Linked DNA regions of Cricetulus griseus. The protein of the gene in region 1 purifies or fractionates together with the protein of each later gene. This does not show direct contact. Links are inferred from orthologs where the notes say so. Each region holds a gene or a part of one and is shown on either strand. Other genes may lie near its edges.

Evidence for each region. The genes of interacting proteins can lie anywhere in the genome.
Region 2: the proteins of ubiquitin carboxyl-terminal hydrolase 22 (region 1) and Taf5l purify together in Homo sapiens (affinity purification with mass spectrometry; 3 studies listed by BioGRID and IntAct, with this or other methods). This does not show direct contact. The link is inferred for Cricetulus griseus from reciprocal best matches to the Homo sapiens genes USP22 and TAF5L.

What each region holds. Positions count from the first base shown.
Region 1 is NC_048600.1:75,147,559-75,152,973, forward strand, and holds part of ubiquitin carboxyl-terminal hydrolase 22, read right to left. Parts: intron 2,508-5,415; coding exon 2,360-2,507; intron 1,727-2,359; coding exon 1,621-1,726; intron 265-1,620; coding exon 106-264; intron 1-105. UniProt on the Homo sapiens protein: Deubiquitinase that plays a role in several cellular processes including transcriptional regulation, cell cycle progression or innate immunity.
Region 2 is NC_048596.1:200,681,092-200,686,506, reverse strand, and holds the end of Taf5l (TAF5-like RNA polymerase II p300/CBP-associated factor-associated factor 65 kDa subunit 5L), read left to right. Parts: intron 1-169; coding exon 170-894; intron 895-3,067; coding exon 3,068-3,865; 3' UTR 3,866-4,912; downstream 4,913-5,415. UniProt on the Homo sapiens protein: Functions as a component of the PCAF complex. The PCAF complex is capable of efficiently acetylating histones in a nucleosomal context. The PCAF complex could be considered as the human version of the yeast SAGA complex.

The DNA.
Region 1 (5,415 bases):
ATTTTTTCTTCTTGTTTTTCTGTTAATTTTTTAAAGCTTGAATTGTGTAGTAAAATGGAAGGAAAAAGCGGCATTCTGAACCAACACCACAAGGATGTGTCTCACCTTCGCAGGCAGTCTGTAAGAGTGGTGGTGCCTGAGGCATGGCTCTCCCCGTTAACCACACTGCCCTCACTCCCTGGGCTCAAGGGCCAGAATGGGGTGGAAGAACCAGGCAGGTCTAAACTGATGTCCCAGAAGGGGTCTATGGTGGTTGAGACGCCACTGCAGAAGAGACAACACATGAGAGCACATGAGGACTGGTGTGTACCATGGCCTGAGGCAGCCCCTAGAGATAGGCCGAACATGCTGCCTGCTCTGCCCATCTGCCCACCAAATGCCTCAGGATAGAACAGGAATGTCCACAGTAATGATTTTATTTGGCGAGTCTGGCAGAGTATAAAGCCTTGAGTTACAGGCAGAGCTCAGCGTGCTGGGATCCAGCTTACAATACTTAGGAACTGCAGCAACACTACTCAGAAACTAGGTGCCCCACATAGGCGAAATCACCAAGGAAACCCCCATCCACAGTACACAGGCCAAACTTGGTAGTCCCACAAACAAGGACCACTGCATTTAACAACGTTATCTGGGAACTGGAGGGTGGGATGAGAAACCTCCAACTACATTGACTCCTTCCTGCCAGGAGGTTTACATCACAATATTAAATCGAGGAAATTCAGAATAGTAAATTGGGTTCAGAAATGGACCAAAAATTCAAGGCTACCTCTTGCTAACAGAGCACAGTAGTTAAAGTCCAGGGAGGGAGGAATTCTACATTGCTCAAAGACAAAGTCTGAAAGGAGCTCTGCGCCTGGAAAACCATAGGAGCACCCCTAGATTCCTGCATCCCGGTCTTGAACCCTGTCCAGAGTACAGGTGAGCACTGGGGGGGGATGGTGACCAGGGTTTTCAAATCCAGGGGTAGAGTAAGAACAGCAGCATGCCTGGGGTGAGCCAGTGGAGCAAACACCAGGCACACCAGGATGGGGTGAGGACTTCTCCAGTCACTGCAAAAGGATCCTTTCTGCTTCTGGAGGGGAAGCACTCAGCAATGGCTACACCTGGAAACCACTGTGGCTTTATGTCAGCAAGTGGAAAAGGAGCCAATTCACACCTGGAGCATGGAAGGCAATGACCTGCCACATGAAGGGGCTATTTGCTTTGGCTCTTAGTCTTGAAGACTATAAGAAAAGCAGAAAAACATGTATGAAGCTGCCGAGGACACCCTGCTAATTGCCAGCAGAACAAAACTCTACAAGTCCCCAAGGGAAGAGCTCCCAGCCTTCAGATTCAGGCCATCTGTTGCTTCCTTGTGTCTTTTCTAGCAGAGGCATTGTATGTCAAATGACCAGAGCATAGCTGTTTAAATAAAATTGTCCCTCACCTGAAACTAGTGTAAGTGCTTCACTACAAACACCACAGAACTCAGGGAGTCTTCTCTAGGGCGGTGCTGAGCTTTATAAAGGCTTGAAGTCCAAACAAGACTTTCCCTTGCTGACTGGGAAATGCACCAGGATATGGCACAGCCAAGGCAGATTAAAGCATGCCTACTGACCGTCAGATGATGGGAGCACTTACTGGCAGACTTGGCATGTGACATCAGACTGGAGCCCACCCGTAAAGATTTGGTCGATGATGCAATTGCAGTGGTTAGGGTTGTTGGCTTTCTTCCCATTGTCATCACCTGAGGACAAAGTGTGATTACCATTAGTAATGTCACCAAGACAGTACAAAGCAGTCAGCAAGTCCACATCACCCAGCAGAGACAGGAGGACACCAGGAGCACCAACACTCTATGAGGCATGTGAAGGCTTTTAGATTTATCTGGTAGCAGGGATGGGGTGGGGCATGTCACTCTTCCTTTTCTTTCTTTCCTGAGCCAGGGTAAGGTAGCTCTGGCTGGCCTTGAACTTGCAGAGATCTGCCTGCCTCTGCCTCCTGGGTCTTAGGATTATAGAACTGTCAGCACACTAGCCCTGGGACCACTATTCTTGTACAGAGGCTCACACCTATAATCTCAGCACTCAGGAGGCTGAGACAAGGGGGCCAGTGCTTTAGGCCAGCAGTAGCTACACAGGGAGACCCTGCCTCCAAAAATATAAAAAATCAGTTGGTATTAACAAAACAAACTGTGAAGAACTCATTAGAAGAAACCATGCCATTTTCTTTAGTGGAAATAGAACCTGACTATACTGTCTCCAAAACAAATCAAGCATTCTCCTACAGTTGCCTGGGTGAGCACTAGCCTTGCTCTGATCCACTTTTAAGGGAACTCTCCGCCTGTCCCAGCCCAGCAGGGAGATGGTGGCAGGCCCACCTTTGCAGTGCCGGTGGAGGACGTCCAGGGCTGCAATGAGGAATTCATGTGCGTCCTGCTGCTCATAACCTGCCAGGTGCCGGGCGTGCGTCCACACCAGGTGCAGCAGCTTGTACGGAATGTGCGGGGAGCGGTGCCCCGAGTAAAACTGTTTAGAGAGAAGGAAAAGGGACAACTAGGACACCTGCAAGTCTTCATCACCCTCCAAAAAATCCACAGCTGTAGACTGGGTAGTTTGACCGAATGTCCGTCTGTCCTTGGAGACAGGGTTTCTCTGCATAATAAATAGCCTTGGCTGTCCTGGAACTCACTGTGTAGACCAAGCTGGCCTTGAACTCAGAGATCCACCTGCCTTTGACTCCTGAATGCTGGGGTTAAAGGCTTGCAACCACCACCACCTGGCATTGTTTTTCTTTTCATAACTGATTTTTTAAAGAAGATTTATTTATGTACTTTATATATAAGAGTGTTTTGTCTGCATGTAATTTGTGCACCAGAAGAGGGCATCTGATCCCATGGGACTACAGTTACAGATGGTTGTGAGCCACTATCTGGGTGCTAGGAATTGAATTCAGGACCTCTGGAAGAGCAGCCAGTGCTCTTAACTGCTGAGCCATCCCTCTAGCCCTGCAAATTGTATTTTTATTTGGACTTTCTAGATTTCACTCTCACTTTTCTCCACTTTATTTTTGCTGTTAGCCCACACAATAAAAAGCAAAATCAAGTGATTCATTCTATGCAATGTTTGCCTTACACAGAGCACCTGCTATCTCTTATACCTGAATGCATTTCCCAAGTTCATCATTAGATGAGGTTTCTTGCACTTTTTCATTTGTCACCCCTTTGCCTGAGAAGCCACTTTGTGGAAATTCAAGTACACAATGAGAGTAAGTATATTTAAGGCCATTTTCAGAAACTGGGAAGTCCTGTTTTAATTCTAAGCCTTTTTATAGCAACAAGAAAAACAAAACTCAAGCCAGCAAACAGCAATTTTTAAAACCAAACATTCAACATCAGAATCTAAAGTTATATGAAGATATATTTACATGCTGAGAAAATGATGGTAGGAAAATACTCAATGTCGTTGTCTTCTGTAACAACACCACTACATTTCTGTAAGAGCAGAAGACTTTGCATATATAGTAAAATCACACAACATCCTTGTCAATGAGGTGTCTCAGGCAGCACTAACTGGCTCTGGCACACATGAAACAGTGTGTGTGGTATGTTTAAAACCAAGGCTGTGGTGAAGTCACACAACACAACCTTGGCAAGTCCGGTCAGAAACACCTCAGAATTGGCACCTACTTGGACCTGGAAGTTTTGGTTGTTATTCTTTCAGATTATTATTATTTATTATTATTACTTATTGCGTGCACTCAAAGATGATCCGTATTTGTGACCTCCAGTTTGTCATGACCCATAAAGCCATGCATTAAACTAATTTAGAGTTGCAAACCATCTGTTTTCATGTATTAGCAACAACAGTGTGTAGCAGAAACCCAACAAAAAGCTGACATCAATCTTCCACCCATTTCTCTGTTTGCAGTGAGTCAAGCCACCAAAATAGTCTCAGCAAGTTTCTTGGGCCAGGTTGAACACCCAAAAGGTTTGGAACCAGAAGTGTCTAAGATTTTAGAATATTTGCAAATGAGGCATATTACAAGATAGGACCCAGGTCTAATAAATAAATAAATAAATAAATAAATAAATAAATAAATAAATAAATAAAACCTCAATGTGTACTATGAAGGTAATTTATGAAGTGTGTGTATTAAACTATCCCATGGCAGGTGTGGAATTCATTACATCAGTGACCAAAAACTGGAAACCACACAAAAGTGTTTGAGCCAGGCAGCTCCAACTGCAGTGTGGCCACTATACAACAGAGCATTCTTCGGTAGGAGGGCTGATGCAAATGCCACACATGGACCTTAATGTACCACACGGACAAACCTAACAAGGGTGGTGGAGTATTGCACATACACAACACTGGGACACCTGCCACACATCCATCCATACCAGGTACACAGGAATGGGAATTCAGGGGACAGAAACCTGTGTCACCAGGAGCAGGGGGCTTGGCTTCAGAAAGGTATGAGGGTAGAGGTGTTAAGCATTTGTCAACTCACAAATCTATATGCTAGCAAGTTTTTTTTGTTTGTTTTTTGTTTTGTTTTGTTTGAGTCAAGGTTTCTATGTGTAGCTTTGGAATCTATCCTGGCACTCGCTCTGGAGACCAGGCTGGCCTCGAACTCAGAGATCCACCTGCCTCTGCCTCCTGATAAAGGCGTGCGCCACCAACGCTCAGCTATGCTAGCAAGTTTTACTGTGTATATCTTACTAAGCCCTGGTTTAAAAATAATCCAAGAGAGATGAATTAGTCACAAAGTAATAGCTAGTTGAAAGCAGTGAACTCCAGCATTCACTTCCCAGCATGTTTTCTTTTCCCTTGTGACCTCTGACAATTTCACTTGTCCGCCCCTACGTATCTTCAGTCTCAGTCACCAGTAACTGCAGGTGTTAGTAATGGGCTGGACTAGGACAAGAATTGGCAAGCTTGTTCTGGAAACGGCAGTTGAATCATTTTAGTTACAAGGCCACTGTGTAACTCTGTCCACTGCTCAACCCTGGGCTGTGGCCAGGCAGCCGTGACAACACAAGAGCAAAGATGTCTGGATGCACACTAGTAAAAGATCACTGAAAGGAATGAGGCCAGCCTGCTGGCTTCTGGGCAGGGCATCCCATTTCTGGGATGGGAAAAGTTATTTCTGCTCTGATACATGCTCTGAGGCCACTGAGACACCAGGTGCTGAGACAAGCCTGAACAAGGAGACATCACTTTGCTTAGGGATAGACACGGATAGGCACAACACAAGTGCAGCTATCGTGAGATCAAGGACGCCTTAGTAAGCACTGACTCTGTGCTGCCAGTCTGCAGAGCAGAGGCCTTTGACAAAGCACACTTGGGAAGGGCCAGCTACTTCCACTGAGAATAGAGCAGGCAAAGGGCTGGGGCACATCTATAGGGTTTCCTGAATGCAGGGGTCAGACAT
Region 2 (5,415 bases), on another chromosome or scaffold:
CATGGCCAAACCCCCCAACCTTGACTCAGAGTCTGCCCTTCTTCTTTGATTGGGGAGACTTTGAAATTCTAGATTCTGTGGGCCGGAAGTGTTGGGTAACTGGCTCTAGGAGGATCCGCTTGTTTCTCCGGTGTTACTGAGTATGAGTTTTTGGTGTTTCTCATTGCAGATTCTGACTCCCAGCACAGCCATGAAGTTATGCCTCTCCTCTACCCCCTCTTTGTCTACCTCCATCTCAACCTGGTCCAGAGTGGCCCTAAGAGCACAGTGGAAAGCTTCTATAGCCGCTTCCATGGAATGTTCCTACAGAATGCGAGTCAGAAGGACATCATTGAGCAGCTGCAAACAACGCAGACCATCCAGGACATTCTGTCAAACTTTCAGCTTCGTGCATTCCTGGACAACAAATATGTGGTCCGTCTCCAGGAAGATAGCTACAACTACCTTATCCGCTACCTCCAAAGCGATAACAACACTGCCCTGTGCAAGGTGCTTGCCGTGCACATTCACTTGGACGTGCAGCCTGCCAAGAGGACAGACTACCAGCTATATGCCAGTGGCAGCTCCTCCCGCAGTGAGAGCAGCGGCCTGGAGCCACCAGATGTGCCCAACCCTATTCTGCAGAATGAGGCTGCCCTGGAAGTCTTGCAGGAGAGTATCAAGCGGGTCAAGGATGGACCTCCCTCCCTCACCACCATCTGCTTCTATGCCTTCTATAACACAGAGCAGCTGCTGAATACTGCAGAGATCTCCTCTGATAGCAAGCTTCTGGCTGCTGGGTTTGACAACTCCTGCATAAAGCTCTGGAGCTTGCGGTCCAAAAAGCTGAAATCAGAGCCCCACCATGTGGACACATCCCGTATCCGTCTAGCTTGTGACACTCTGGAGGAGGAGGTAGGGGTGCCATTTATTCTTTCTTGTAAATCCTTCCTATTAGAGTGTTCATTCTAAACCTGACCTCTCACCAAACAGTACTCTGTAGTCCCCTTCCTAGGCAGCCAAAGCTGGATTCATGCCAGATGATATAGCCATTGAGTCCCACTCATGCCTGATAAATGCACATTAAACCCTTCTCCCAATACTCAACATTATTTATGAGTGGACAGTGTTTACCACTGTCTGAAAAGCAGGTGCCATCATTGAGCCTAACAGATCTTCAGCTGATACTGACTTAGGGATCACATTACATGTCTGTTGTTGTATGCTCTCAAATGTGTACTGTGCAGGTTCAAATAGTGAGAAACAGCATTGGTAGTTAGGGGGTCCACATTTAAACAGTAGTGAATATTGTCTTCCCCTGCAGAAATCTAGGCTGTTTCACAGCCTTGTCCAAAATAAGGACACTGATGTACTGTGTGTCTAGCTCTGTATGCCAAGAGTAGTCTCAGCCCCACTTTGAAAACAGACATGGATTGTAGAACTCTGGTGTCTTCTCAGTCAGTGCAATAACCTGTTGTCAGGTGGAGTGGCTAATCTGGGATGGCCAGTGACCTGAGTTTCAGTTACCAGAGTCACTACTGTATAAAAACTTGGGCTGAGAGAGTTAGCCTTCATGATCAGCATTTCTTGAGCACCCAAATGCTTTTGCATTTCTAATTTGAAGTGTCTGCAGTAGCCATTTTGAGTATTTGTAGACAGACACCAGTGTTTTAACTCCCTCAAGTTTTGTGCACATTGAAAGCAGTTATTTTGCTTTGACTTAGAGTTTTCTAGTAGAAAAAACAGTGCCTACTAAAAAGGTGTTCTTTTCCTGTGCAGTAACCAGCAAAGCTGAGTGTTAAGGAATCTTGATTGTCTTCTAGTGTTACCCATTGTAGTGGAGAGTCACACCTGTATGTTCAGGAGCTTCCCTGTGAGGGAATAGAGGGGAAATGGACTGATAGCCTGCAGCCTTGTGGGAAAGGGCTGTGGGAGCACACTTTATCTCCAAGTGCTATTGTGGACATTTCCTCTGTTTTTTTTTTTTTTTTCCAAAGGTGACATGAGTCACTGGGCTCTATTGTAAGCTTCCCCCCTCCTCACTCTCACTCTCTATGTTAGACCAGGCTGTCCTCAAACTTGGAAACCTAGCTGCCTCTGCTTCCTGAGTGCTGGAATCAAAGGTATGCGCCACCATGCCTTACTGTCTTTCTCAGTCTATGGTTTACTTTAGGAGATACGGATGAGACTCTCCCTTCCTATCCTTTTTTTTGTTTTGTTTTTTTGTTTTGTTTTACTGCACCCCCACCCCCAAGTCTATGTAATATCAAAATCTTGATGGTCCTCCTGAGTCCTGGCACTGTAGACATAAGTCACCATATGCAGCTTTTATCTGTCAGTGTTCATGGTCTATTGGTAGCTGTATTCTCTGACTCAAAGTTCCTATGCAATTTTGTTTTGGCTCAGGTTCTTGAGATTCTTCTAAAGCAGATCTTCCTGCTTTAGCTTTCTTGGTACTGTAATCACAGTGTATACTACCGGGCCTATCTCTAGATTTCATTAAATGTAATAGAAATGGAATAACTTGGCTACAAAATGATAAGAGCTGATGGCTGAAGAGAGCTCCATTAAGGAGAATCTATGAACTTTATATAAATTCAGAAGTCAGTGTTTTCAAAAGAATGAATAGTAGATGTCCCACAGGCTTGCCTTTCAGTCATATCCTCATTCGAAAATTAAGACTCACAAAAAGTATTTATCTTCAGTCTGATGTGGCCTATGGTTGGGCATGGTCAGCTGGAGTGGCCATGAAGGGCACACCCTCTGACAGGCCCTGCTCTCTACCTTTCCTCTTTCAGACTTATATTTCTTTTTTTGTTTGTTTGTTGGGTTGGGTTTTGGGTTTGGTTGGTTGGTTTGTTTGTTGTTTTTCGAGACAGGGTTTCTCTGTGTAGCTTTGGAGCCTATCCTGGCACTCTCTCCGTAGACTAGGCTGGCCTCAAACTCACAGAGATCTGCCTGCCTCTACCTCCTGAGTGCTGGAGTTAAAGGCGTATGCCACCAATGCTCAGCTCAAGCTTATATTTCTTGTGAGACCACTGAATATTTTCTTCTTGTGTGTTTTACCACCCCACCCACCATGTTCCAGGAGAGTGAGGAGGATAATACAGGCACAGAGATGAAGATCCTGCGAGGACACTGTGGCCCAGTGTACAGCACAAGGTTCCTCGCAGACAGCTCGGGGCTGCTCTCTTGTTCTGAAGATATGTCCATCAGGTACTGGGACCTAGGGAGCTTCACCAACACTGTGCTGTATCAGGGACATGCCTACCCTGTATGGGATGTGGACATCAGCCCCTACAGCCTATATTTTGCCAGTGGGTCCCATGACCGTACTGCCAGGCTGTGGTCTTTTGATCGGACGTACCCGCTGAGGATATATGCAGGACACCTGGCTGACGTGGACTGTGTCAAATTCCACCCCAATTCAAACTACTTGGCAACAGGTTCCACTGACAAAACTGTCCGGCTGTGGAGCGCCCAACAGGGGAACTCAGTGCGGCTATTCACGGGTCACCGAGGTCCCGTGCTTTCCCTTTCCTTTTCTCCCAACGGTAAGTACTTGGCATCCGCTGGTGAGGACCAGCGGTTAAAGTTGTGGGACTTGGCCTCTGGGACGCTTTTTAAAGAACTGAGAGGCCACACGGACAGTATCACCAGTCTGGCCTTTAGCCCAGACAGCGGTCTGGTTGCCTCTGCCTCCATGGACAACTCTGTACGTGTCTGGGACATCAGAAGCACGTGCTGCAACACACCTGCTGATGGCTCTTCGGGTGAGCTCGTGGGCGTGTACACTGGACAGATGAGCAATGTCTTGAGTGTACAGTTCATGGCCTGCAACCTCCTCCTGGTGACTGGAATCACACAAGAGAATCAAGAACATTAATTTTTTAATTCAGGTGGCAGACTTGGTGGGGCTGGAAAACTGGTCACAGTCCAGGACTTGCTAAAACTGAATCAGTGATTGCAAAAGAGCCCTCCCCTACCCCACACTCACCCAACACAGCTCTGGTGCACAAGACTCCAGTTGAGAGCTGTATGCTCAGGCTTGATGCCTCCTGGCTCTATGCAGGCACCTTGCTTTTGCATTTCCCTCTTCCCAGTAGGGTTACTGGAACAGTTGCAGAACTCCTCTGTAGCAGCTGTAGACAGTGTCTCCTGTGGCTACCCCTCAAGGGAAGTGGTGACAGGGACTAGGAAAGGAAGGGATGATCTAGCAGTCTTTCTTTTCCATAATGATAGAACCAGGATTTTTTATTATTATTAATAATAATTATTATTATTGAGGAGGAAACCTAGCATTGGCAGAGGTGTCTCTGCTTCTGTCTGCAGGTTTGACTCCTGGCACTGGCTATGATACTTGGAATTTTGAGGTTCAGGGAATTCAGACTTTGGTAGCCATGTATCAGGAGAAAGGGGTACCATATAATGTGCTTTTGCAAGCAGGCAGGTAGCTTAACTGAACATTGAGCTCTTGCAGTGATGGTGGGAGAGAAAGATTCTTTTACTGGCTGCACTCTGTCAGTACTTCTCTACCCTAGAAGAAATATTATGGTGGGCAGAGGATGGGCCTCAGCACTTGAGTCGATTGTCCAAGGTTCCATCCCTAGCACCATCAACAAAATTATGATAAAGAATAATTTTGAATAAATCTCAAAATAGGCTTAAAAGCTGGATTTCCAGATGACTGTTTATTCTGAGATGTGGCTTTTTGGTGTCTTTTTCTCCCTCAATGATCTGCTTCCACCCCTCACTGCAGTACCAGTATAGTGAACACAGGAATGAATCATGAGTGCACACTCAGCAAATATCAAACCATGTTTTAAGGACAAAGGAAGTTCTAATGTGTGGAAACGGATTAAATATTTCTGTTTTCTGAAAAGAGTTATTTTGTATTTTGTTTTCTATTAAAATGTATTTAGTTTCAAAAAAATAAGTGTGGCATCTCATTTATACTCTCAGAATACTTGTATCACTGGTCCTTCAGAGTAGTGACCAGAGCATAGGCAAGATCGGCCACAAAGCAGGTATGGTGGTCTGTTTTTGTATTCTTCTGAATTTACTTTTCATCATGTTCTTCCTGGCATCCAGTTGGATTACCAACAGCAGTAAAACATCCAATGTTGCTACCTGTTGATGAGAGATGAACATCTCTTTAGGAGGATCCCCACTTTAGCTTCCTTGAAAAAAATCACATTGTAGCTGGATGTGTTGGTGCACATCTTTAATCCCGACACTTGGAAAGCCAATAGTGTGGCAGCTGCCCAAGTCACCCCAGTAAAACCTGTTCATCAAGCTGGACTTGAATAGTTTCTTCTGGACTGTCATTGTTCTCTCAGGACTGAAGAGAAATACTCTCAGGAAGAGACAACACACTGTGAAACACTGGGTCTTCATTAAACATTCATAAAGCATGGTTAAAATCATCATTAGCAT